Arabidopsis thaliana: one gene and its partner. The protein of the gene in region 2 interacts with the protein of the main gene of each other region in a biochemical or structural test. Each region holds a gene or a part of one and is shown on either strand. Other genes may lie near its edges. The genes, in order: RPN10 and RAD23B.

What was found.
Region 1: the proteins of RAD23B (region 2) and RPN10 form a complex in vitro, tested with the Arabidopsis thaliana proteins (one study listed by BioGRID).

What each region holds. Positions count from the first base shown.
Region 1 is NC_003075.7:18,052,054-18,063,701, forward strand, and holds RPN10 (regulatory particle non-ATPase 10), read right to left. Parts: upstream 7,546-11,648; 5' UTR 7,407-7,545; coding exon 7,395-7,406; intron 7,314-7,394; coding exon 7,200-7,313; intron 7,106-7,199; coding exon 7,000-7,105; intron 6,873-6,999; coding exon 6,758-6,872; intron 6,679-6,757; coding exon 6,466-6,678; intron 6,255-6,465; coding exon 5,975-6,254; intron 5,891-5,974; coding exon 5,794-5,890; intron 5,711-5,793; coding exon 5,610-5,710; intron 5,512-5,609; coding exon 5,443-5,511; intron 5,358-5,442; coding exon 5,304-5,357; 3' UTR 4,935-5,303; downstream 1-4,934. Other genes in the region: MYB4 (myb domain protein 4), read left to right, coding at 1,813-2,075, 2,238-2,823; AT4G38640 (Plasma-membrane choline transporter family protein), read right to left, coding at 7,831-8,091, 8,182-8,527, 8,975-10,038; AT4G38650 (Glycosyl hydrolase family 10 protein), read left to right, coding at 11,324-11,405, 11,495-11,535, 11,635-11,648. UniProt on the Arabidopsis thaliana protein: Plays a role in maintaining the structural integrity of the 19S regulatory particle (RP), subcomplex of the 26S proteasome.
Region 2 is NC_003070.9:29,967,510-29,979,615, reverse strand, and holds RAD23B (Rad23 UV excision repair protein family), read left to right. Parts: upstream 1-4,334; 5' UTR 4,335-4,483; coding exon 4,484-4,549; intron 4,550-4,803; coding exon 4,804-4,965; intron 4,966-5,185; coding exon 5,186-5,224; intron 5,225-5,288; coding exon 5,289-5,336; intron 5,337-5,429; coding exon 5,430-5,500; intron 5,501-5,570; coding exon 5,571-5,642; intron 5,643-5,727; coding exon 5,728-5,905; intron 5,906-5,981; coding exon 5,982-6,107; intron 6,108-6,189; coding exon 6,190-6,255; intron 6,256-6,537; coding exon 6,538-6,585; intron 6,586-6,684; coding exon 6,685-6,794; intron 6,795-6,916; coding exon 6,917-7,001; intron 7,002-7,093; coding exon 7,094-7,210; 3' UTR 7,211-7,508; downstream 7,509-12,106. Other genes in the region: RFO1 (Wall-associated kinase family protein), read left to right, coding at 279-1,203, 1,306-1,428, 1,522-2,729; AT1G79660 (ephrin-A3 protein), read right to left, coding at 3,041-3,322; AT1G79640 (Protein kinase superfamily protein), read left to right, coding at 8,526-8,684, 8,798-9,052, 9,204-9,328, 9,459-9,503, 9,595-9,676, 9,748-9,816, 9,905-10,075, 10,180-10,245 and 8 more. UniProt on the Arabidopsis thaliana protein: May be involved in nucleotide excision repair. Binds and presumably selects ubiquitin-conjugates for destruction. Prefers multiubiquitin chains rather than single ubiquitins, with a binding affinity for 'Lys-48'-linked ubiquitin chains.

The DNA of each region.
Region 1 (11,648 bases), on a different chromosome or scaffold from region 2:
TTTTTCAATAAACCATTATTCTTTTTCGTTTCTTCTCACATTTTCCACCTAACTTACCAAATTTCACAATTAAGTTCAACTTTTTTTGTTTAGCATACATGGACAGTACACAGTAGATACTATAGTTTAATTATTCTCTCCTATATACTGTTATGTGTTCTATTCTTCAACTATTCTCCTGACATACGAATTACTACATACGTATATGATTAGTGTTGTCGATCGTATTCTAAAAATATAGATACGATTAGTGCTATAATAATATTCCGTCCAGTTAGAGTTCAACATTATTAAAAAAATATCTCTTAATAAGTCTTGATTTTTCAAGTCTCTAATATGAAAGAAATAGAAGTTGGTTAGAGAAAACCATTCTAAGTCAAGGTTCTAGAAGGCACATTCTTTAATTCAAATAGTTTATCATATATGTATATTTCTAATTTATATGTATGTGTCATGGTGGTTCTTGTTGTATTGTTTTTATACTGAAATATTAAAGAAACATGAGCATCATCACAAATATTTTAAACATGAAGTGCTTGTCATTTGGTGAGAGTAATTTGAAAACCATATATAAGTTACAAGTTATCCTGCCCACACATATAATTAGTTATTTGATAATGCTTTGTTTAATTAGCAAGTGATTGTATTAGGGTTAAGTTCTAGATATATTATTGATTAAAAAAACAATAACTAATCCAGTGCAGTCTATATATTAGAGAAAAGACTGTTGACCAGTACAACAAAAACCTCATAGGCTATATAGTTGACCTGCACTTGTCCAAAAAACACTCATTAACTTTACCACCTACCTCCACTACTTCATTATATCTTCTCTTCGTTATTGCTACCAAATTATTCAAGTTTCCCCTTCCTTTGTTAGACCCAAATTTTTACTTGTGACCTATAATATCTGGCGATAAAAGCCATTCACAAACTTTTTGTTTTACTGAATTTTAGGTTTTCTACATTAATTTTCACCCGCCTAAGTTTTACTACAAACTTAATTCATACGATAGGTAAGAGACTCCAAAAAAATAAAAATAAATTACTGTTTGTACTAAATCGGTCGAAGTTAAAAGACGATTTGTCAATAAATGTACACAGTCGAATACTCGAATTGTCATGTATTGATTAATTTCTTGACAGAGTTGGTTTATATTTTGTACTAAATAAAACTTGTTGCAAAGTAAAAAAAGAAAGAAAAAAAATTAAAGAAGTAGCTAAATAATTTTGGTTTATGTATATACGAACACGAGAAATTTCTTTGATTACATATATATATATATATATATATTTAAGTGAGAAATATTAAATTTGTTGTCATGATTATTAAAAAAATGTCATAGCTTTATCAAAAGACTATGATGCCATATATGTCAAGCTTCTCACTTATTGTACCAAAACGAAAGGCCACCATACACTACTCATTCAAATCCATCCCACCAACTCACATCTAGAAGCAATTATAAGTTCAACTCTCTTTCTCTCTCCTTTTCTATCATCTAGAAGCATTTGTGTATATATATATATGTGTGTATATTCCTCTCTAGCTTTAAGTCAAAACCCTATATAAACTATACACCAAAGCTTTGAACCTTCAACCAAACCCAAAATCCAAGTGCCCCACCAAATGCTTCAATCCTCTTCCACTACACAAAAAAACAACTTAATCCCTTTATACCCTTTTAGCCAAAACCCTCGCTAAAAGCCAATCCCTCAATATAAAATAACAAGTAGAATTGATCTGCCTATATATAAGATTTTGAGACGAAATAAGATCTAAACCACAAGAAAGAAAGTAAACATAAAAGTATGGGAAGGTCACCGTGCTGTGAGAAAGCTCACACAAACAAAGGAGCATGGACGAAAGAAGAGGACGAGAGGCTCGTCGCCTACATTAAAGCTCATGGAGAAGGCTGCTGGAGATCTCTCCCCAAAGCCGCCGGACTTCTTCGCTGTGGCAAGAGCTGCCGTCTCCGGTGGATCAACTATCTCCGGCCTGACCTTAAGCGTGGAAACTTCACCGAGGAAGAAGACGAACTCATCATCAAGCTCCATAGCCTTCTTGGCAACAAGTGAGTACTATACTCTCTAAATATGGGCTTATTTAACTAGCTAGTATCGTTTATACCCAAAAAAAAACAAAAAAAACTAGTATCGTTTTAATTTATACAAAATGAAAATCTTGGAGTTTTCAATCTATCTAAATGATGTTATTTTTTGTTGATGATATATAGATGGTCGCTTATTGCCGGGAGATTACCGGGAAGAACAGATAACGAGATAAAGAACTATTGGAACACGCATATACGAAGAAAGCTTATAAACAGAGGGATTGATCCAACGAGTCATAGACCAATCCAAGAATCATCAGCTTCTCAAGATTCTAAACCTACACAACTAGAACCAGTTACGAGTAATACCATTAATATCTCATTCACTTCTGCTCCAAAGGTCGAAACGTTCCATGAAAGTATAAGCTTTCCGGGAAAATCAGAGAAAATCTCAATGCTTACGTTCAAAGAAGAAAAAGATGAGTGCCCAGTTCAAGAAAAGTTCCCAGATTTGAATCTTGAGCTCAGAATCAGTCTTCCTGATGATGTTGATCGTCTTCAAGGGCATGGAAAGTCAACAACGCCACGTTGTTTCAAGTGCAGCTTAGGGATGATAAACGGCATGGAGTGCAGATGCGGAAGAATGAGATGCGATGTAGTCGGAGGTAGCAGCAAGGGGAGTGACATGAGCAATGGATTTGATTTTTTAGGGTTGGCAAAGAAAGAGACCACTTCTCTTTTGGGCTTTCGAAGCTTGGAGATGAAATAATATTGTCAAATTTTAGGCGTAACTGTACAAAACTTTTGCCTAGATAATTTGAAAGTATATCTTCAACTTGTATGAGAAATTTAACTGGTGAATTATAATATATAGAATTTGTTTTTTTTTCTCTTTTACAAATTAACTCCATTGGCATAAATATTAAATACCGGATCTAGACGATCGGTGATAAAAATATAGATCATTAGATCGTATAGCTCTATTGTAATTAATTTGTATACGATTAAGATTATCAGTTTATGAGGTAAGATTAGGTTGGTTGCCCAAATAACTCGTTATCCAATGTTGGAGATAAGCCAAATAAGGAGAAAAAAGATTACGAGTATGGCAAAGATACTTGATCACATAATACTTAGATTGTACTGGTATAGATGATACCTTGTTAAGATCTATAATTAAAGATCTAGGAGAAGAACGTGAAACAGAAGATAAATCGAAAATGTTTCATGACAAGTGGAAAGTGAGGTTTGTAGTTAATTTGGCAGGAATAGAAAAGTTGTAAGAGAAGGAGGTAGGAGAAAACTTAAATGTTTTTAAGATAAAAAAAGGAAAGAAAGAGATATGTGAAAAAGAAAAAGAAAATAATGAAAACCATAAATGAAGGAAAGGAAGCAACAACCAATGGACCCTTTCTTCTACCAAACTCTATTTATTTCTCACTACCCATCTCCCTACCAACCTATATACCAACCTTTCCTCATCTTTTGTCCACTTGCAAGCGATCTACATCTGCATACATACATACATACATACATACATACATACATATTACACATGAATGCATAACATACATATACTGTATATCCATATACCACATAATATATTTATGCATGCATGCATATAAAAATTATGTATAGGAGTTTCATTGAATGTAGCCACATGGTTGAATTTAGAAAGAGTAGCGACTCGTAAACTTAAACATTGTTCTATCGTAAGATGCTTGGTAAAATCGGTGTTGTACATGTTCCTTCGTTGATATCCTCTCCTCAACACTACAAAAACCCTCTCTAGCTACTACATTAATTATCATCTCAAATCCCAATAGAGCAGTATATTATTTCCTCGTATATATTTAGATTTAGTTTTAAAATTGATCAAATGGTTATATACTCCAGTTGTGTGTTTGTTTTTTTGTTTTGGCCAAAAATTGGTAAGATCTCAAAAACTGGTATAATCACTTGAGAAATTATATGATCACCAAATGACAAGTTGTTGTCACTAGCACTGGGGCTTGATATATATCATATTCTGATGAAGATACAAACTCAACAATAATGGAATCAATAAGAGTTTTCTCAGGTTGCATCAACTAATGAAACAAATTTAAAGTTGGAAAAAAAAACAAAATCAGTTGAAGTCTAAAATAAAGTTGAGAACGTTTGATTAATTTCGAACATCGAGATTTAACAGTGGTTGGGTAAATATTATGAAAGTGAAGGAATAACAAAAAAAAACATGTAGAAGTTGATAGAGGAGGATGATATTTTGGAAATGAAAGAGATGGGAGAGGAGGAGTGGTGAGAACTGAAGATAAGGAAAAAGGGGAAAAGGACAAAAGGATGACCACACACACAGACACAAGTGAACAAAGACAGACGCACCTGCCTCCTCTTCCTTCTTCTTTCTAATATTATTCATTTTCATTTGTAAAGAAACGACTTTTTCAAAAGGTGTTAGGTAGATGCAATAGAAGCTTCTATCAGTTTTTCTTCTTTCTTTTTTTTTATGTTATAGTTTGTGAGTCTTGTGACTCTTTTTGTCTTTCCCTTTCTTGCTCTAAAAGGGAACAAAGAAATTTCGTCACTAATAAGTTTCCCCAATAAAAAGTCTTTAACGATAGTCATATTTAGCAATTCAATTTGTTTGTGTAGCATAGTTTACACGTACGTAGATGATCAAAACTACAGCTCGCATGTGGCAATTAGCAGACAAATACACATATCTTGGGATAAATATAAATTAAATAATGCAAATAGATTGCAATTAGCAGACTAATAAGCGCATATAAAAATTAGATTGCAAAGAACAAAAAAACGAGCCAACAGTAGAACAAAGGAATTAAGTACCTAACTGCCACGTGGGACTTTAATTACTTGGAGAAAAACATAACTTCGCAGAAATGTGAGCAAAATTTAATTACCAATGTAGACTTTTTGCACTGTCGTAAGAATATTTCAGATTTGACACTTGTGCAAGGTTCATTACGAATTTAGGACTCGCTATTCTACTGAATTGATCGAGAGACCTGTAACAAATAGGCTTACTTTCTAAGAGCCCATTGACATAAAGTCCAATAAAAATTAAGAAGGAAGCTAGTCCTTGACTCGTACAATAACAACATTATAAAAAGGCGAGAGAGAGAGAAAAAAACAAATTTCACAAGGCAGAGAGATTAGTTAAATTCAGTTCCAATCTCTATCAAACCAAAGAAACAAGAGGAATTTTTATTGAGACTCTCAGATCCTTCTTCACTTCTTCTCATCCTCGCCTTTTTTGCTACTACTCTCTTCCTCCTCGGTACGCTGTCATTTTAACCATATACATTTATCAGAATCTTCTTTTTCAAATAACAAAAAGATGTAATCATAAACATCAACAAAGACACACCTTTGACTCGTCTGGCAGAGACGCTAGTAGTTCTTTAACTGCCGGATCATTTGGATCCACCCCAGGAAGCTGCGTGTACACAAAGTCTTAGTACCAAAGCTAACCCTACTACTTTTCTCTTTCATTTTGCTTGTGAAAAAAACTGACTAAGGTTTATGTAGGCTTACCGATGAGAGAACAGACGATATGAAGGCTTGATTTCCCAAGAGGTTGTTTCCAGCACCTGTAGCTTCACTTGACTCTTCCCCACTCATTGACATTTGCAGAGCTGCACATGGAGTATAAAAAAATATAAGAAAAATGCCAATTTTGATTGCCATGGATATACTTTTACCACACTGTTCTACTTACCTAAAGCCAGATCCTGGTCCTCATCAGCCGCTTCTGACATATTCACATCACCAACAGACATAGCAATTGCCTGATCTAGCAACGCACTGTCCTCATCCTGCCACAAAAGGTTGTATGATTAACAATCTCTCCGCCTGTGACTATATAAGAATGCTACACTCAATTTTAAGTAACAACTAACCATTGGTTCAGCGTTCTTGTCAGTTGTCCTAGCAACTGTCTCCTGTGAGGCGGAAGCTGTGTCCCCATCTTTGTCTTTCTGACCTGCCTCATCGGCCGCCTTCTTGGCAGCAGCTTCTTGTCTTGCTCTCTCCTCCTCCATGGAGACCCGAAGGGCAAGAGCAAGTTCTGGATCGATATTTGGGTCCACACCAAAGTCGAAGTCCCCACCTGCGGCCGCTGCAGCAGCTGCCGCAGAAACATAGCCACTTGCACCCTCATCACCCGTGAATACAGGTGTGCTGGAAGAAAATTTAAAAGTTAAAACACTATCTATGATTCAAATCACTGTCTAAATGTTTTGTTGCAGCATTGATAAAAAGCAAGACTAGAGAGCTCAAAAGACCTAAACACACAAAACCACATGAAGTGCACCTACCAAGCCGGATATTGTTGAAACTGTTCCTTTTACAATCTACATAACCTAGAAAAAAAGAAGAAAAGGGATGGTACCTGAGAAGCACATCTGAGAGAGCATTGGCTCCAGAAGGAACATGAACAATGTGGCTACCGTCATTGTTATTCACAGCTGTAAGGAGCGCCTCGAGTTTCTGAGGCTTTTCCTCATCATCATCCTCCCCGAAATTGACAATATCAAGAGAGACACTATTCTTCTTCAGCCTTTTTCCAACTATCTCTAGGGCCTTCTTCTCGTACTTGATTGGACTAAAAAGTAGAAGCAGAAGAAAAACATCAGTATAAAACTATACAAAAGTTACTCAGCAAAAACAAAGCAATTCGGTACCTTCCAGCAAAAACAATAATCCTTTGGCGTTGATTCTTGTTTTGGCGATGCTTAAGAGCTAGCTGGGCGATCTGGATAGCTGCGGTTAAGTTGATCTCTCCTCCCACATCAAGGCCTGAAAAGATGACGCAAGTAGCAAATTGATGTCAAACTCAATGATAAAGAGAAAGAACAGATTTTTTCTAATTGCTCTAAGTAGACAGCTAATAATAAATAGAAAGATTGGAGAGAGAGATACATACCGTGCATACAGGCCAGAATTTTGCCAAGATCAGAGGTAGGAGTAGTCAATACTCTAACTCCTTTGCCAGCCATTGTCAAAATCCCCACCGTATTCTCCGGATTCGACTGCAATTGCAAAAAAGAAAGATCCCTAAAAATCACAATCTCACGCAAACCCAAAAACCCTAATCGAATCAAGTGAAAAAACGTAAATTATTACCTGGGTTTTGGCTCCGCAAAGAAGATTAACAGCTTCCGTTTGCGCCTGTAACCTAGACGGAGAGTAATCTCCGTTTCGCATCCACTCGGAGTTGTCGATACATATCATAGTCGCCTACAACAAGAAATCATCGATGAGAAAAAGCATTCAACGTGGATCATCAACGAAGATAAGCACAAGTAATTGGAAAATCACCTCGAGAACCATCGTGTCGATAAGCAGAGAGAAGCTTCAAAAATTCTGTCGTAGAGAGAAAGTCAGGAAGGCAAGATTTAGATTTTAGTTTAGACCGATAATAATAACATTGTTCTTCTTTAAATATCCCCTTTACTTTTTTACTTTCTCCTTTTAGACCCTAATGTTTTACGTTTATTTCAATTTAGCCCCAATGGTTGTTTTTGATAAAAAGCAAAACAAAGTTGATTTATTAATGAATAAAAGAAACACAGACCACATTACAGTAATTCCTATAACTAAAGTCTTTCTTTTATTCAACATTGTTACCCCATAACTCTACAAAACATCAATATAAACCCCAAGAAGACAAACCACAGTTCACCAGAGAGGAATTTACAACGGTGCTAACAAACAAAAAAAGATACAACAAGCAGAGACGTTGGATCATCTTCTGCTATGCATTAAGAGCATTTGGGATGAGAGAAGATCTTGTGCTTCTGCTGATAGGCAAGTGAACATAAACCTCGTGAACTTCCTGCTTACATACATCCCCTTTGTCTCTATCAATCGCGTAACAGACATAGATTGTGTCAATCACATCGTCAAGAACATGTACAAAGAAAGCCAATATCACAATCAGTAACACCCACGCCAGTACAGCCACCACGTACGAATCTATACCCAGGTTGCTCACTCCTCTCAGAACAGCCCATGTCTGCTTTTGCGCATCATCAAACCCCGGAATTAGTCATTATGGCAATTATTAAATGCTTGGTTGGTGAGACAAGCAGAAGATAATACTTACCGCGACTGCATATGCGGCTGACAGGACAAAGACTATTCCGGTTAGGATTCTGGTGGAAACCGTTTCGACAAATACAGCTGACAGTAGGTTGCGTCTTAACAGCTCGTAAGTCATTTTCGCAGAGGTGCAATACGCTTCCCCTGTTATTGCAGCAAAGTTGATGGTGAACTTGTTGAGATAGTCAAGGGCACCAAGTAAGGCGTTTGCACAGCAACGGAGAACCATGTTCACTATTCCTTGTGTGTTCTCTTCTCTTGCATTGTCCACAATTGCCCGGACCACACGAACAATGCATATGAGAAGTCCTGATACACATATCGTACCAAAGGATTGACCAAATGCATTCCTGAAGAGACAGATACAAAAAATAATAAGATTCACACATGCTTTGACATAAACCAACAACAGATTTGAAGACTAATGCAAATTTGGATCCTCAAAGCTATAATCTCCTTTCAAAAATACCACTGTCTGTTGTCTCTTTTCACATTTAAAGTACCAAACAAGTTCAGATGATGGATTCCAATACAATATCCAATCTATAAGGCCAAGACTATGAATACCATGACCTAGAATCACTGAATACTCCAGAACGAAGCCAAGCAAGGGATACTTCGAATGACCATAGATTATATTTTATGAGGAAACAAAACTAAGAGAACTCAAAGCAAAAACTCCCGCGATCACACAAAACATATATTAGAACTAAGAGCACCATTGATTGTAAGAGAAACTGCACAGCAAATTCATTGATAACAAGAATAAAATAGAGAAAGATGTGGCAGCGAGTCACCTCAAAGAACTCCGGATGCATTTTTTAGGGATTGAGTCTTCCTTGGAGAAATACCACTGAGCAATAGCTCCACTTATCACATACACTTGCATTTCCACCATTACAGCAAGAGACCAGATCATCGTTAAAATGGCAAGAGCGTAATACGCAGGAACCCAAGAATCTTCTTTCCACTCACAAAAGTACTGACCATCCAACTCTCGCGGCACAAACTTCCCATTAAACCTTGCAAACACCAAGAACACCACAATCGGCGCATAGTACACCACTAACCCGAGAGTCAGCAGCGGCAGCACAACAAAAAGTTTCAAATTTTTGGACAAGGCATCAGATGCAACACTGATGATTTGGATAGTAAGATCAATTCTGTGCCAATTAGCTACTATGATCCAGACAATGATCCCGATGATCAAGAAAACAAAGACTAGGACAAGTATTCTGTAAGCTAGAGGGAGGGCATCGCTACAAGAAGAGCTAAGAGTACAGGCGACAAACCAATAGACATTGAAAAAGATGGGAAAAAGGACAAAGAGAGGTAAACAAGCATAAACAATCTGCTTAGTGTAGTGTTTGAGCAAAAGCAGGACGCTAAAACAGAAGGGCACGCTTAAAATAAGCGTTACAACAAGTGTCCAGATCAAATCCTTCTCAAAGACTGGATCAGACGAAGAAACCATGCCGTACATGACACTCGAAGAAGCCCAGTAGTACCCATCCGAAATTTTCGTAAAGGTAGAATTTTTGACGCAGGAGCTAGAGGTGAAATCGTAGGTGAAGGAAGAGGAGTTCCCGTAATCGTTATTTCTATGAAAAATGGAGAAGATTCCAAAACCAAAGGTGGAGAGTACGAGAAGATCGAAGAGAAGTAGGAAAGGGATGTCCTTGAAAGTTCTTGGGCCAAAATTGTAGGAGATCTGAAGAAACTGAGTTGGGTCGGATTCGGGATCACTTCGACGCGGAGAATCGAGAGCGGACGTGGAGGGTTTAGAGAGAAGAGGGTGTGACGGAGAGGATGAGTCGTAGATTGCAGCGAATTTAGTGGGGTCGCCGTCGTCCGCCGCCATGGTCGTCCACAGAGAGAGAAGAAAGCTCCGCCTCTGGAGCTAAATGATGAAGAAGCTTAAGCAGAAGCAGAAGACGACGAAACTCAATTTAGCATTTTTTCTTAATCACAATAATTAATTAGTGACGATGCCGACGACCACCGCCCAAGCGGCCAAGCGAAGATGATCCAAGATCTCGCCACCACAATGCTCAAATTTAATTCGTTGATTAGTCACGTATACAGGTATTATACCGTCCAAAGGAGTATTATTATCTTCATGTGCATTAAAATATTAGTATAGTTTCTTTTACCAGTATTAAAAGAAAAATTCACGAAGACATTGAGACGGGCTTCGAAGAAAGTCTGATAAGAGAATTCTCAAAGCCCAACTAGCCGTATTAAAGCCCAAATCATCGCATGCAAGAGTAATAGTCCTAACTCCTAAGGAGCGTGTGACTGCATCACAAGGGCAGATACGTTTGTTAACTTGGGCCCAATTGTCACTTGTAAAGCTAAATCTTTGAAATCTTTTGAGAGTTTAAACTTTAAAGATATGAAATTTAGCTAAATTCGTACAAATTTATATCCAAATGTTGACAACAACGTAATCTAAAAATGCATAGACGACAATATTGGTTTCCCTTTGTATCAACTAACAAAATTAATTTTTAAAATTTTGGTGGTTCTTTAGTTATGGTAATTGGTTCCTTTTGTATTGTTTTCCAAATATTTGAGTTCTATAAAATAAGAAATTAAAAACATTAGTACAAAATCTTGTAAATTTAAATTTCGAATCAAACTAAATATGTTAATTCAAAATCTCTAACTTTTAATTATATATTTTATAATAAAGTAAAAAACTATATTCAATATTTTTATTATCAGATATATCCATCTCCTATAGAAAACAAATCTGGATCGTAGCGTGAGTTTGCATTTTGCAGGCGTGAGAGTTTTTTGCACGCACACACACACAAACACAAAACAAGCAAATGGTAAGATTTAGGTAAGAAACTTGTAACCAAAGCATGCATCAACCCGTGGTACTCTAATAGGCTAGTATCTATATAAAAGCACAACTTCACATGACAAAAAAAACCACTTCGCATATAACAACATCATCACGTGAACTCACTCAATAGGTTCAGTGTTTCTGACATATTGTTCCCTCTCTGAATGAAACTCTCCCAAATAGAGAATGGCCTAACCACCTATCCAACCGCATCAAGGCACTTGGTTTCATCCCCTTGATTTCTCTCTTTTTTTCTTTTCCTATCGCAGGATTTTGTGTTCTTGTTTTGAATATGAAATGTTCGTCGATGTGTTGTTTGATCCTCTTGGCCCTTTCTCTCCTCACCGCCTTCACTCTTGCTTCTTCGTCAAATGGTACACACAAGTATATTATAGCATACCATAGTATATAACATACATGTATACAGAATTTTAGCTTGATATATGATGTTTTTACTCTTCAGGTATAGATGGACCTTTCTACGACTCTACTGCCTACACAGAGGTTTTTAAAGCTTTGAGCTATTAATTCAATTTCACAAGATATGTAATTGCGCATAGATAGAAAGTATATATACATTATGTGGTATGTGAAATGCAACAGTGTAGAGCCGAAGC
Region 2 (12,106 bases):
GTTGGTGAATAGTCAATTTCCTGATATTAATAATCTATGTGAATAATCAACTTTGTTATATCATCTGGGAAAAAAAATGATAGTAAAATCGTATAACTAAAATTAAGATTCTAATTATGAAAAATTACAAAATTGATTTGGACAATAAGTTGTGTAAACTTGTAATGATAATTGATCCCTTGACCGTTGACAAAATAGAACTTCCAAATTCCAACGAGACGGCTCAATAATTTCTAAAATAGAACTTTCATACATAAAAGTCATTAGAGAAAAAAAAAATGAAGAGAAGGAGACTTTTTTTCTCTGTTCTACTCTCTATCCTAACTCTGTTCATCAATGGTCCTTTGATAACGACAGCTCAATCTCCACCTTCTTCTTCAACTTCATGTAACCGTATCTGTGGAGGAATCGAGATTCCTTTTCCTTTTGGAATCGGACGAAGAGACTGTTTTCTCAACGACTGGTACGAGGTTGTCTGTAACAGCACCACCTCCGGTAAATCCTTAGCTCCGTTCCTCTATAAGATCAACAGAGAATTAGTTAGCATCACTCTTCGAAGCAGCATCGACAGTTCCTACGGAGTTGTTCACATTAAATCTCCGGTGACTTCCTCCGGCTGTTCTCAACGACCCGTAAAGCCTCTTCCTTTAAACCTCACCGGTAAAGGAAGTCCCTTTTTCATCACCGACTCGAATCGTCTCGTCTCAGTTGGTTGTGACAACAGAGCATTGATTACAGACATCGAATCTCAGATCACAGGATGCGAATCGAGCTGCGACGGAGATAAGAGTCGTTTAGACAAGATCTGCGGTGGTTACACATGTTGTCAGGCGAAGATTCCGGCGGATAGACCGCAAGTAATCGGCGTTGACCTTGAAAGCTCCGGTGGTAACACAACTCAAGGAGGAAACTGTAAAGTTGCTTTCTTGACGAATGAGACTTACTCTCCGGCGAATGTTACAGAGCCGGAACAATTTTATACTAATGGGTTTACGGTGATTGAGCTTGGTTGGTACTTTGATACATCAGATTCTCGGTTAACGAATCCTGTGGGTTGTGTGAATTTGACGGAAACAGGGATTTACACGAGCGCACCGAGCTGTGTTTGTGAGTATGGTAACTTCTCTGGCTTTGGTTACAGTAACTGTTACTGCAATCAGATTGGTTACAGAGGGAATCCTTATCTTCCTGGTGGATGCATTGGTAAGATTTATGTGTTTCTTCGTCTATTTGGCTTCAATGGGGTTTTAATTAAGTGATTACGGATGTGTTGATTCAGCCTTTTTTGTTCATTTTGTTTTTAAGACATTGACGAATGTGAGGAAGGAAAAGGACTAAGCAGCTGTGGAGAACTAACTTGTGTGAATGTTCCTGGATCGTGGAGGTGCGAGCTGAATGGAGTAGGGAAGATCAAGCCTCTGTTTCCAGGTGAATCAATGGAGTTCTTTTCCAGATTCCAAAGTCATATCACAGAGCAAAAAAGAGTGATGATCTTTATAGTTTTCTTTCGTCCTTGTGCAGGTCTTGTTCTAGGTTTTCCACTGTTGTTCTTGGTACTTGGGATATGGGGATTGATCAAGTTCGTTAAGAAGAGAAGGAAGATTATCCGAAAGAGAATGTTCTTTAAACGTAATGGAGGCTTGTTGTTGAAACAACAGTTAACTACAAGAGGAGGTAATGTGCAGTCATCGAAGATATTCAGTTCGAAAGAGCTGGAGAAAGCGACGGATAACTTCAATATGAACAGGGTTCTTGGGCAAGGAGGTCAAGGCACTGTCTACAAAGGAATGTTGGTAGATGGGCGAATTGTTGCTGTGAAAAGATCTAAAGTTTTAGATGAAGATAAAGTTGAGGAGTTTATCAATGAAGTTGGTGTTCTCTCGCAGATTAACCATAGAAATATTGTCAAACTCATGGGGTGTTGTCTCGAGACAGAGGTTCCTATCTTGGTTTATGAACATATTCCAAATGGAGACCTATTCAAGCGGCTTCACCATGATTCTGATGATTACACTATGACTTGGGATGTGCGATTGCGCATCTCTGTTGAGATTGCAGGAGCACTTGCTTACTTGCACTCGGCTGCATCAACTCCGGTCTATCATAGAGATGTCAAGACCACAAACATACTTTTGGATGAGAAGTATAGAGCCAAGGTATCGGATTTCGGGACCTCGAGATCCATAAACGTAGATCAAACTCACTTGACTACTCTAGTTGCAGGTACTTTTGGATACTTGGATCCAGAGTACTTTCAAACTAGCCAGTTTACGGATAAAAGTGATGTTTATAGTTTTGGGGTCGTCTTGGTTGAGCTCATAACTGGAGAAAAGCCGTTTTCTGTAATGCGGCCCGAAGAAAACAGAGGACTTGTGTCTCATTTCAATGAGGCTATGAAACAGAACAGAGTTCTTGATATTGTTGATTCTCGGATCAAAGAAGGTTGCACGTTGGAACAAGTGTTGGCTGTGGCGAAACTTGCCAGAAGGTGTTTAAGTCTAAAAGGGAAGAAACGACCAAATATGAGAGAGGTTTCAGTTGAGCTTGAGAGGATCCGTTCATCACCCGAAGATTTGGAGTTACATATTGAAGAGGAGGACGAAGAAGAATGCGCCATGGAAATCAACATGGATGATTCTTGGAGCGTCGACATGACTGCTCCAGCTTCCCTCTTTGATTTATCGCCCAAGTTAGACGTTGAACCGCTGGTTCCTCAACGAACATGGTGATGATGGAACCTAAAACACTGCAAATGTACAAAGTGCTGTGATAACAAATTCTCTCAATGTTCCATTCTTTATTAATAAAAAATTTGATGATGTCAAAGAAAAAAACTTGTATTCTCCAAAACTTTTAGCATATATATTCGATTACAGAAGATTCATATTTGTACAATAACTGTGAATCTTGGGACATAATCAAAGTAGAATAAGGTACGTGTAGATTCTGATGGGTTTACAAGCCATTCTTTAGGCGATTACACACACATTTCAACAGAGAGACAAATGTTTATATAATGCAATCAGCTTAGGCTGACACTCTAGAAGAATTTCAGTTTTCCGTTGGAGAAACTGGCTTGGATGTGTTCCATTTGACACATTGCCTTGTCTTTTCCAGTCATCCCTGAGCACAACAAGTGCCTAGCGCCTAGTGTGACGGCAAAGTAGATATAAATGGTGCAGAGGAATGCCAAAAGAAGCATAGCAGTCAAAAGGAAACGATGCCTCTGGACAACAGTAGAGCAGCTACCCAAGTCATCCCATTGCTTCTTAAGAGCATGTGGCCTCCGTAATGGTGATGATACAATCCCATCAAGAACCATATCTTCTAAAAGACCAACCTTTCCAGCTTAACACCAACCTGAAAAATGACACACAAGTTTTGAGTTCATAAACCAAAAGCTTCTTCAAAAAATAAAATTGCAGATACGAGATAAACAATGGGATGTAAAACATGTAACATTGCCAAATTTCAAAACAAACGATTTGTCGACGAATTTTAAGACGAGATTAATCTTTCATGTGGGATTATAAACAAGCTTAGTAAATCTGGATCATCCATTTTATTCGAAACTAAAACGAATTAGACGATCCAACAGAAGAAAACTCAAAACATGACGCAAAATAAATAAAAAGAAACGGATCGAATCAGGAAAAGAGATAACGAACCTTCGGGTGAGAGAGAAAGAGCTGCTAAAAGAAACGATTAGGGAGAAGAAGAAAGAATAGCTGATTCCAGCTCCGTCGACCAAATAAAATCTTCTTCGTGCAGCTCCCAATAATTGCTATATCTTAGGCAGAGTCGTCAAAATTGTAGATCTCGTCTCCGGCTAGAGAGTAAAGAGCCGATTCGCCGGTAAACGCGGGTTTCTTCTCAAAAACCGGATATTTAGGAACTAAATTGATTAGAGAGAATTAAATTGCGTGTTGGGTTGGTCTGGAATTGAGTTATTTTCCACTTACTTACTTTGTGTGACCTTTTTATAAATGTCCCATGTGGGGTTGTTATTATTCTAGCTGGCTTTTAAGTCCTCGACCGACATTACATGACTCTCTATTGATTTAAATGTCAAAGTATATCCTTAGAAAATTGATTGCTAAATACCGACAACAAAACTTAATTATTATTACTCATACTAACCAGAACTGTTTTGTGTTAGTCTAATTTAATGTCATTTAAAGGGCGTAGCCCACTAACATAGGGCCTTACTGGGCTATTAATATTTCTTTGGTGCATGTAGAATTGTGACCAGCTGGGCCGAATTGGAGATGCATGTGTCACGTGGATTGCACATGGCGATCTCTTGCCGCGTTTGAAATCCAAAACGCTCTGTTGCTAGAGAGAGAGACTGTTTTAGCTACGGTCAGCTTTTCTCTAGCGTCGGGGCCTCGATCTCTTGATTTGAGCTTTTCTTAGGTCTGTCTCTCTCTGTACACTCTCTCCGCCGTCGTATCTCGCCGTCGATTTCAATTTTTCCGACGATATGAAGCTCACCGTTAAAACTCTCAAGGGCAGTCATTTTGAAATTAGGGTTTTACCCTCCGATACGGTTAGTTCTACTTTCTTCGTCCATGCGTTTACGTAATTTTCGCCTAGTATAGTAGAGAGAAGTAGGAATCTCACATAGAAGAGACTCAGATCCACAATTTTGAATGTTTGGTGATCAAATTTTTTTATTCTATAAGTGTTTAATAGCTTTATTAACTGCTAAAATTATGACTCGCGAATCCAATCTGGTTTGGTCAAGTTGATTATGTTAGTCTTCAAATCATTAAATCTGGGCATGATGTGCTTGTTTTTAAGATAATGGCGGTGAAGAAGAATATAGAAGATTCACAAGGAAAAGACAATTATCCATGTGGGCAGCAATTGTTGATTCACAATGGAAAAGTTTTGAAAGATGAAACTAGCCTGGTGGAGAACAAAGTTACGGAGGAAGGATTTCTCGTCGTTATGCTTAGCAAGGTAACAGTTCAAATCTGGCTACTGCAAAGATCATACTTCTTTTATCTTCAACAAATCAGTCTTCTTATTTACCTTAAACAAGGATAAAAGCTGATGAATAAGTGTCTTTAGGCATATGTTCCTAGATGTCTCTTTCATGATTGTTTCCTACCTATGAAACATCATTTATCTTGTAATGGCACTGACATTGTCTTTTCCTTTGGTTATTGATGAATTGTAGAGCAAATCTGGAGGTTCAGCTGGTCAGGCTTCGGTTCAGGTAATTTATTTATTTCTCATATTTTCACATCATTGGCTTATTCTGATGATTCTTAGTGTGTCAGACTTCTTCTGTTTCACAGCCTGTTTCCGCTACCACATCTTCGACTAAGGTAACTTTCTTGCATATATTTTATTTGTTGAAATATGCGATGAGCAGCTTGTTATACTGGTTGTTTTAATACAAACACGTCTTGGAAAACCAGCCTGCAGCTCCATCTACAACCCAGTCTTCACCTGTTCCTGCTTCACCTATTCCTGCTCAAGAACAACCGGCGTAAGTTTATAATTGGAAAATGAGATTATTTAGAGCTCTTTTCTCTCTACCTCTCTCTCTCTCTTTCTAGTGTCTATGCTTTCGTCTTTTCTTTTGCAGGGCTTGCCTTTTGCCCCTTATATGGTTTTCCAAAAGTTTCCATGTTTGACCTCTAGTATAAGTTTTATAACTTAGTTGTTGTGGATTCATTAATACATTATAGTCTCCACAATTGAATGGTGTGGCAGGGCACAGACTGACACCTATGGACAAGCTGCGTCAACATTAGTTAGTGGTAGTAGTCTTGAGCAAATGGTCCAACAGATAATGGAAATGGGAGGTGGAAGTTGGGACAAAGAAACAGTTACTCGTGCACTTCGTGCAGCTTATAACAACCCTGAGAGAGCAGTGGATTATTTGTACTCTGTATGGGCTCTCTCTGTAACATTATTCGCTAAAGGTTCAAAGGATGAAATTATTGACAATTTTTTTCTTATATTAGGGAATTCCTCAAACTGCTGAAGTAGCTGTGCCAGTACCTGAGGCTCAGATTGCAGGATCCGGTGCAGCCCCTGTTGCACCTGCATCTGGAGGACCTAACTCATCTCCTTTGGATTTATTTCCTCAGGTACTTTTGTATTAATTGTGTATCCAATAGAATTGAAAGGTATATTTAGTTACCATCTCACTCTGTGGCTTAATTTCCCCAGGAAACAGTTGCTGCTGCTGGCTCTGGAGATCTTGGGACACTTGAATTTCTTAGAAACAATGACCAGGTTGCTATTCTAACTATATCTGCATTTTCCCTAAATTGCGAAGTTCTTATCTTTTAACTATTTGGATCTCTCCTCATCATTCTTGACCGATTGTGAATATGAAAAGGCATCTAGATTGGTTAGAACCACATTTGATCAACTTATGTGGAGATTGTTTGTCTGGTATAGCCATTCTATCAAGGGATGATTAACCGAGATGATATTAACATGCTTTGACTGTTCGTTCTAACTTTTGTAAATTTACTCCATATACTCATTCTCTTGTATTTGCTATTACATTAGTTCCAACAATTACGCACCATGGTCCATTCCAACCCTCAAATTCTTCAGGTAAGACTCGTCTAGTTTTCGTTATCCTGGTCCAGTAGTTTGTAAGACTTCTCACTGATTCCGAACCTCTTATGTTGGAACAACTGCTTTTGTTACCAGCCCATGCTTCAGGAACTTGGAAAGCAAAACCCTCAACTTCTGAGGCTAATTCAAGAAAACCAGGCAGAGTTTCTTCAGTTAGTAAATGAGCCCTATGAGGGTTCTGACGGGTGAGTCCTCCAATCTGTTTATTGTAATCTAAGGTTCTGTCAGATGTAATTATATGCTTCTTATTGATATTTCATTAAACTAAATAATTTGATTCACAAAGTTTAAAAACATAACTCATCAGGGAGGGGGACATGTTCGATCAACCCGAGCAAGAAATGCCACATGCCATTAACGTTACCCCAGCAGAACAAGAAGCGATTCAACGGGTAAAACACCATTAATAGTAACACTCTGTTTCCACACTTTTTTCTTTGCAACCCTTATTAACTATATCCCTGGCCTCTGGCCTATCTAACAGCTCGAGGCAATGGGATTTGATAGAGCCTTAGTAATAGAAGCGTTCCTCGCATGTGACCGAAATGAAGAATTGGCAGCTAACTATCTATTGGAGAACTCAGGTGACTTTGAAGACTGAGTTCACAAAACGTTATCTCTTCTTCGAAAAAGTTTTGGCTCTTTTCTTACGTTGAATTACATATCTTCCGTGAATTAATGTGTGGGATTTGATCTCTCTCTCTCTGTGACTTAGTTTGTCCTTTTTTTGTTTTGAATATTATTTTCTCCGTTTGCGATGGGGGCGGTTGTTACGTTTGTGATAGATATTGAAGCAGAGAGATACAAAAGTGTGATCACATAATTCTCGAGGGATAAACATAAAGTGTAATCGATAGATATTTATCCTAACCAACATGTTCCTATGTTGTTGTGATTAATTGCCAAAACACGGATTTTCCGGTGATAAGTAAGATACACTAGGTGGAGACCGGTTTTATTTGGTTCAGGAAAACCGATGGCTTCTCTGGTATTAGCCCAAATCCCGAATTTCTCAATTTCGTTACCAGAAATGAAGTGTTGTGCTGATATCATACATTTTGGGTTAATTAGGTAGCGTCTCCGGTTTCATCTGGTTTCTACCGGTTGGTTTGGTGCAAATTCAGAAATTTGATTGATAAATTACGATTTTGAATTTTCTTGCATTGGTAAAGCTCATAAACCGGAATCGGTTATTTCACCAGAAAATTAATCAAATTGATTAAGTGTTCCTTATCCATTCTAGGTTAAACAATTAATGAGACGTAGACGGTCAGTTTTTTTTTTTAACAAAAGAAAATAAATAGCAATAAAAAAAGGAAATTTGAAGGGAGAAAAGGGCAAAAAAGCAGAAAGAGACCTAAAGTGGCGGGATTCCAAATTTAACAGAGCCCAAAAAGCTTCTCCCCATTTGAGCGGCGATCCGATTGTGACTCTCTCTTTCTCATTCTCTCTCGTTTTTTCTCGTTTTCTTTCTCCAGAAAATTTTGATAGAAAGTAGACAAAAAAACTTAATAAGAAGATCATCATCATCATCATCGTTCAATATCTTCATCAGCACGATATCTGTCTCTTTCCTTTTCTCTCACTCTTCTCATTAATTTGTTTCTTGATTATTTTACATGGGTGTCGTAATTTTCCCGGTACTAATATTGTTTTTAATTTCGCTTCCCACCGTTACGCGAATAGTTATTGCGACGAGATTTAGGTTTTTTATGAATCTTATTTGTTTCCCTTTTTTTTTTTGAATTTATTCTGTAGATTTACTCCACTGTAACCAGCTGCGTTTTTGTTTCCGCCTCTCAATTCCAGGTAATCTTTGATTCTCCCCTAATTTTGTTGCTGAAGAGATTTGGAATTTGAAACAAGATATTGAGTTTTCTGAATTGTGGTTTCAGTGAAACCAAAGGATCTAGACAATGGAGAAGAAGAAGTATCCAATTGGACCAGAGCATTATACTCTCTACGAGTTTATTGGACAAGGTGTTAGTGCTCTAGTGCATCGTGCTTTGTGCATTCCGTTTGATGAAGTCGTTGCTATTAAGATTCTTGATTTTGAACGCGATAACTGCGATCTGGTGATTATATATATTCTCTTGTTCTCTGACTCTGAATCTGGATTTTTTTTTGTGTTTTTGTAATTTGCATTGTATCTAAAGTGATTACGTTTTTTTTATTGATTTGGGGGCAGAACAACATCTCTCGTGAAGCGCAGACGATGATGCTTGTTGATCATCCCAATGTGTTGAAGTCACATTGTTCCTTTGTTAGTGATCACAATTTGTGGGTCATCATGCCATACATGTCTGGTGGTTCTTGTCTTCACATTCTAAAAGCTGCATATCCTGATGGTTTTGAAGAAGCTATTATAGCTACTATATTGCGTGAAGCTTTGAAGGGATTAGACTATCTCCATCAGCATGGCCACATTCATCGCGATGTCAAAGTCAGTTATTCCACCTGTCTGGATTTCACTTCACTTGGCAATTCTTTTAGCTCATCTTACTTTGTAATCTTGTGGTTTTGAATTGTGTTTATCATCAAATGACTCTGTCAACTTTACACGTTGTGACTATATCTTTATGTTTTCATTTCAGGCTGGGAATATATTGCTTGGTGCTCGAGGTGCAGTCAAGTTGGGAGACTTTGGTGTATCTGCCTGTCTCTTTGATTCAGGTGATAGGCAACGGACAAGGAACACATTTGTTGGAACACCTTGCTGGTAAGTACCCACGCTAGTTGCTAACTACTGCCCCCAATACCTTCTTATATTTTTTTTGTGTGGAGGACATTAACAGTGTTTGAGGTTAGTTCTCATGTGCATGACCTACTACTATTTCTTCTTGTCACAGGATGGCACCTGAAGTCATGGAGCAGCTACATGGTTATGACTTCAAGTTAGTTTAGCCTTATACAAAGTTATATCATTCTATTTATTCGCTTATTGGATGAATATATAGTATATCTTATTTGGAGCATCTCCTTCAGGGCTGATATTTGGTCGTTTGGTATAACTGGGCTAGAGCTTGCTCATGGTCACGCTCCTTTCTCTAAATATCCACCAATGAAGGTTCATAGCCTGTGATACCTGGATTTCATCTCCAAAAGTTTTGCTTCTATCTAAACCAAATATGTTTTCAGGTTCTGCTTATGACGTTGCAAAATGCACCACCAGGGCTGGATTACGAAAGAGATAAGAAGTTTTCCAGGGTATATTCTCGGTTTTAAAACTATATATTATGGTCAGAATGTTTGGCTATTGTCATCTCAATTTTGCCTTTCTTCCTGGTATTTTCAGTCTTTCAAGCAGATGATCGCCAGTTGTCTAGTTAAAGACCCTTCCAAACGCCCGTCTGCAAAAAAGTTGTTAAAGCACTCCTTTTTCAAGCAAGCAAGATCAAGCGATTACATTGCACGAAAACTTCTGGATGGGTTACCAGATCTTGTTAATCGTGTTCAGGCAATAAAGGTTAGATATGTAGATCTAAGTAGATAGCCAGTAGCTATAATGTTGAATATTATCAATCAGCATCTCATGGGGAAATCTGATGGGAATATTCTTTCTGCATGCAGAGAAAGGAAGAAGATATGCTTGCACAAGAGAAAATGGCAGATGGAGAAAAGGAAGAATTGTCCCAGGTTTGTGTTTCCAGTTTCCACTTTTAGCTTTATTTATCTTTGTTTTGAGTCTCTAGCTTTTGGTTTTTAGTTTAACTTGTTCTGCAAAGTATTTAGCCTTTAAACGCTTGTCATAGTACCATGCAGAATGAATATAAGAGAGGTATCAGCGGGTGGAATTTCAATCTTGATGATATGAAAGCCCAGGCTTCATTGGTATGTTTTGTCTCTTCTGACCCATAAAAGGTAGTCAACTGTAAAGCTCACAGTGCTTCATATTATGATGCTCTTATTTCCATCAGATCCAGGACATGGACTGTGGCTTTTCGGACAGTTTATCGGGAAGTGCAACTTCGTTGCAGGCTCTAGATTCACAGGATACACAATCGGAGATTCAGGTGTCCTCTTGTAGAATCTTTCTCAACTTCTAGAGAACATGTTTCTAGATGTTCTGGAAATTTCCAGTATCAGAAATGCTTCCTTGTTTTCATCTTCGTTTGTTATTTAGTCGAGGTTTAAATTCTTTGTAACCATCTCTGCAGGAGGATACTGGTCAAATAACTAATAAGTATCTCCAACCTCTGATTCACCGAAGTCTAAGTATCGCGAGGTTGATCTCCTAATTTTAAACTCTGTGATTGTCTATTTGGAATTTTCATATCGTTATGTACTTATCTGGAACTGCTACAGATGAATAAACTGAGCAACTAATATTTTGGTTGGTCAGGGATAAATCTGATGATGATTCAAGTCTTGCCAGCCCCAGTTATGATAGCTACGTATATTCCTCCCCCCGTCATGAGGATTTATCTTTAAACAATACACATGTTGGTAGTACGCATGCAAACAATGGGAAACCAACGGATGCCACATCAATCCCAACCAATCAACCAACAGAGATTATAGCAGGGAGCTCTGTTTTGGCAGATGGAAATGGTGCTCCCAATAAAGGAGAGAGGTTAGTCCTTTAAGCACGGTTATTTTAAGAGCCTTTTTTTGGTTCAGATTTCCAGTATTATTATTTAACCAATACCTGCCTCTTGAAGTCTTTAAAAACTTGAAGTAAAAAAAGAACTCTAGACTCAAAATTGACTTCAAAGCTCGTATTCACTGACTATACATATACTCTACATGCGACATTGAATTTTAAATCAACCTGTGGATTTCCCAGTGATAAAACTCAAGAACAGCTTCAAAACGGGTCAAACTGCAATGGGACACATCCTACAGTGGGAGGAGATGACGTACCAACGGAGATGGCTGTTAAACCACCCAAAGCAGCATGTAAGCATTTACAGAAATTTCTTTATACTTGAAATCCATTCTAAACATCCATGTGGATCAATGCATTTCTGATTAAATAAATTTGTCCCGGTATCAGCAAGCCTAGATGAATCTGATGACAAATCAAAGCCGCCAGTTGTGCAGCAAAGAGGGCGTTTTAAAGTAACTTCTGAAAATCTCGACATCGAGAAGGTAACTTTTTTTTTTTTTTTTTTGGTTTTAAGAGGAAAAAAGAGCTTTCTTGTATCAATCACGTTTGTGAGGTTTTCCTTTGTATTCGCTATCTCTTTATCAGGTGGTGGCGCCTTCGCCAATACTGCAAAAGAGTCACAGCATGCAGGTTTGTAATTGTTTTGAGTTCAACTTGATCAGCTGCAGACGAACAATCAAATGTGTTTTACCACAACTATTCATCTCAAGTTTTCTTAATGAAAACAAATAATATTTTTACTTGCGGTTATGTAGGTGCTCTGCCAACATTCCTCTGCTTCTCTACCTCACTCTGATGTCACATTGCCAAACCTAACCAGCTCATATGTTTACCCGCTGGTGTATCCAGTTCTGCAAACTAATATTTTGGAAAGGGTATGGCTTTTGC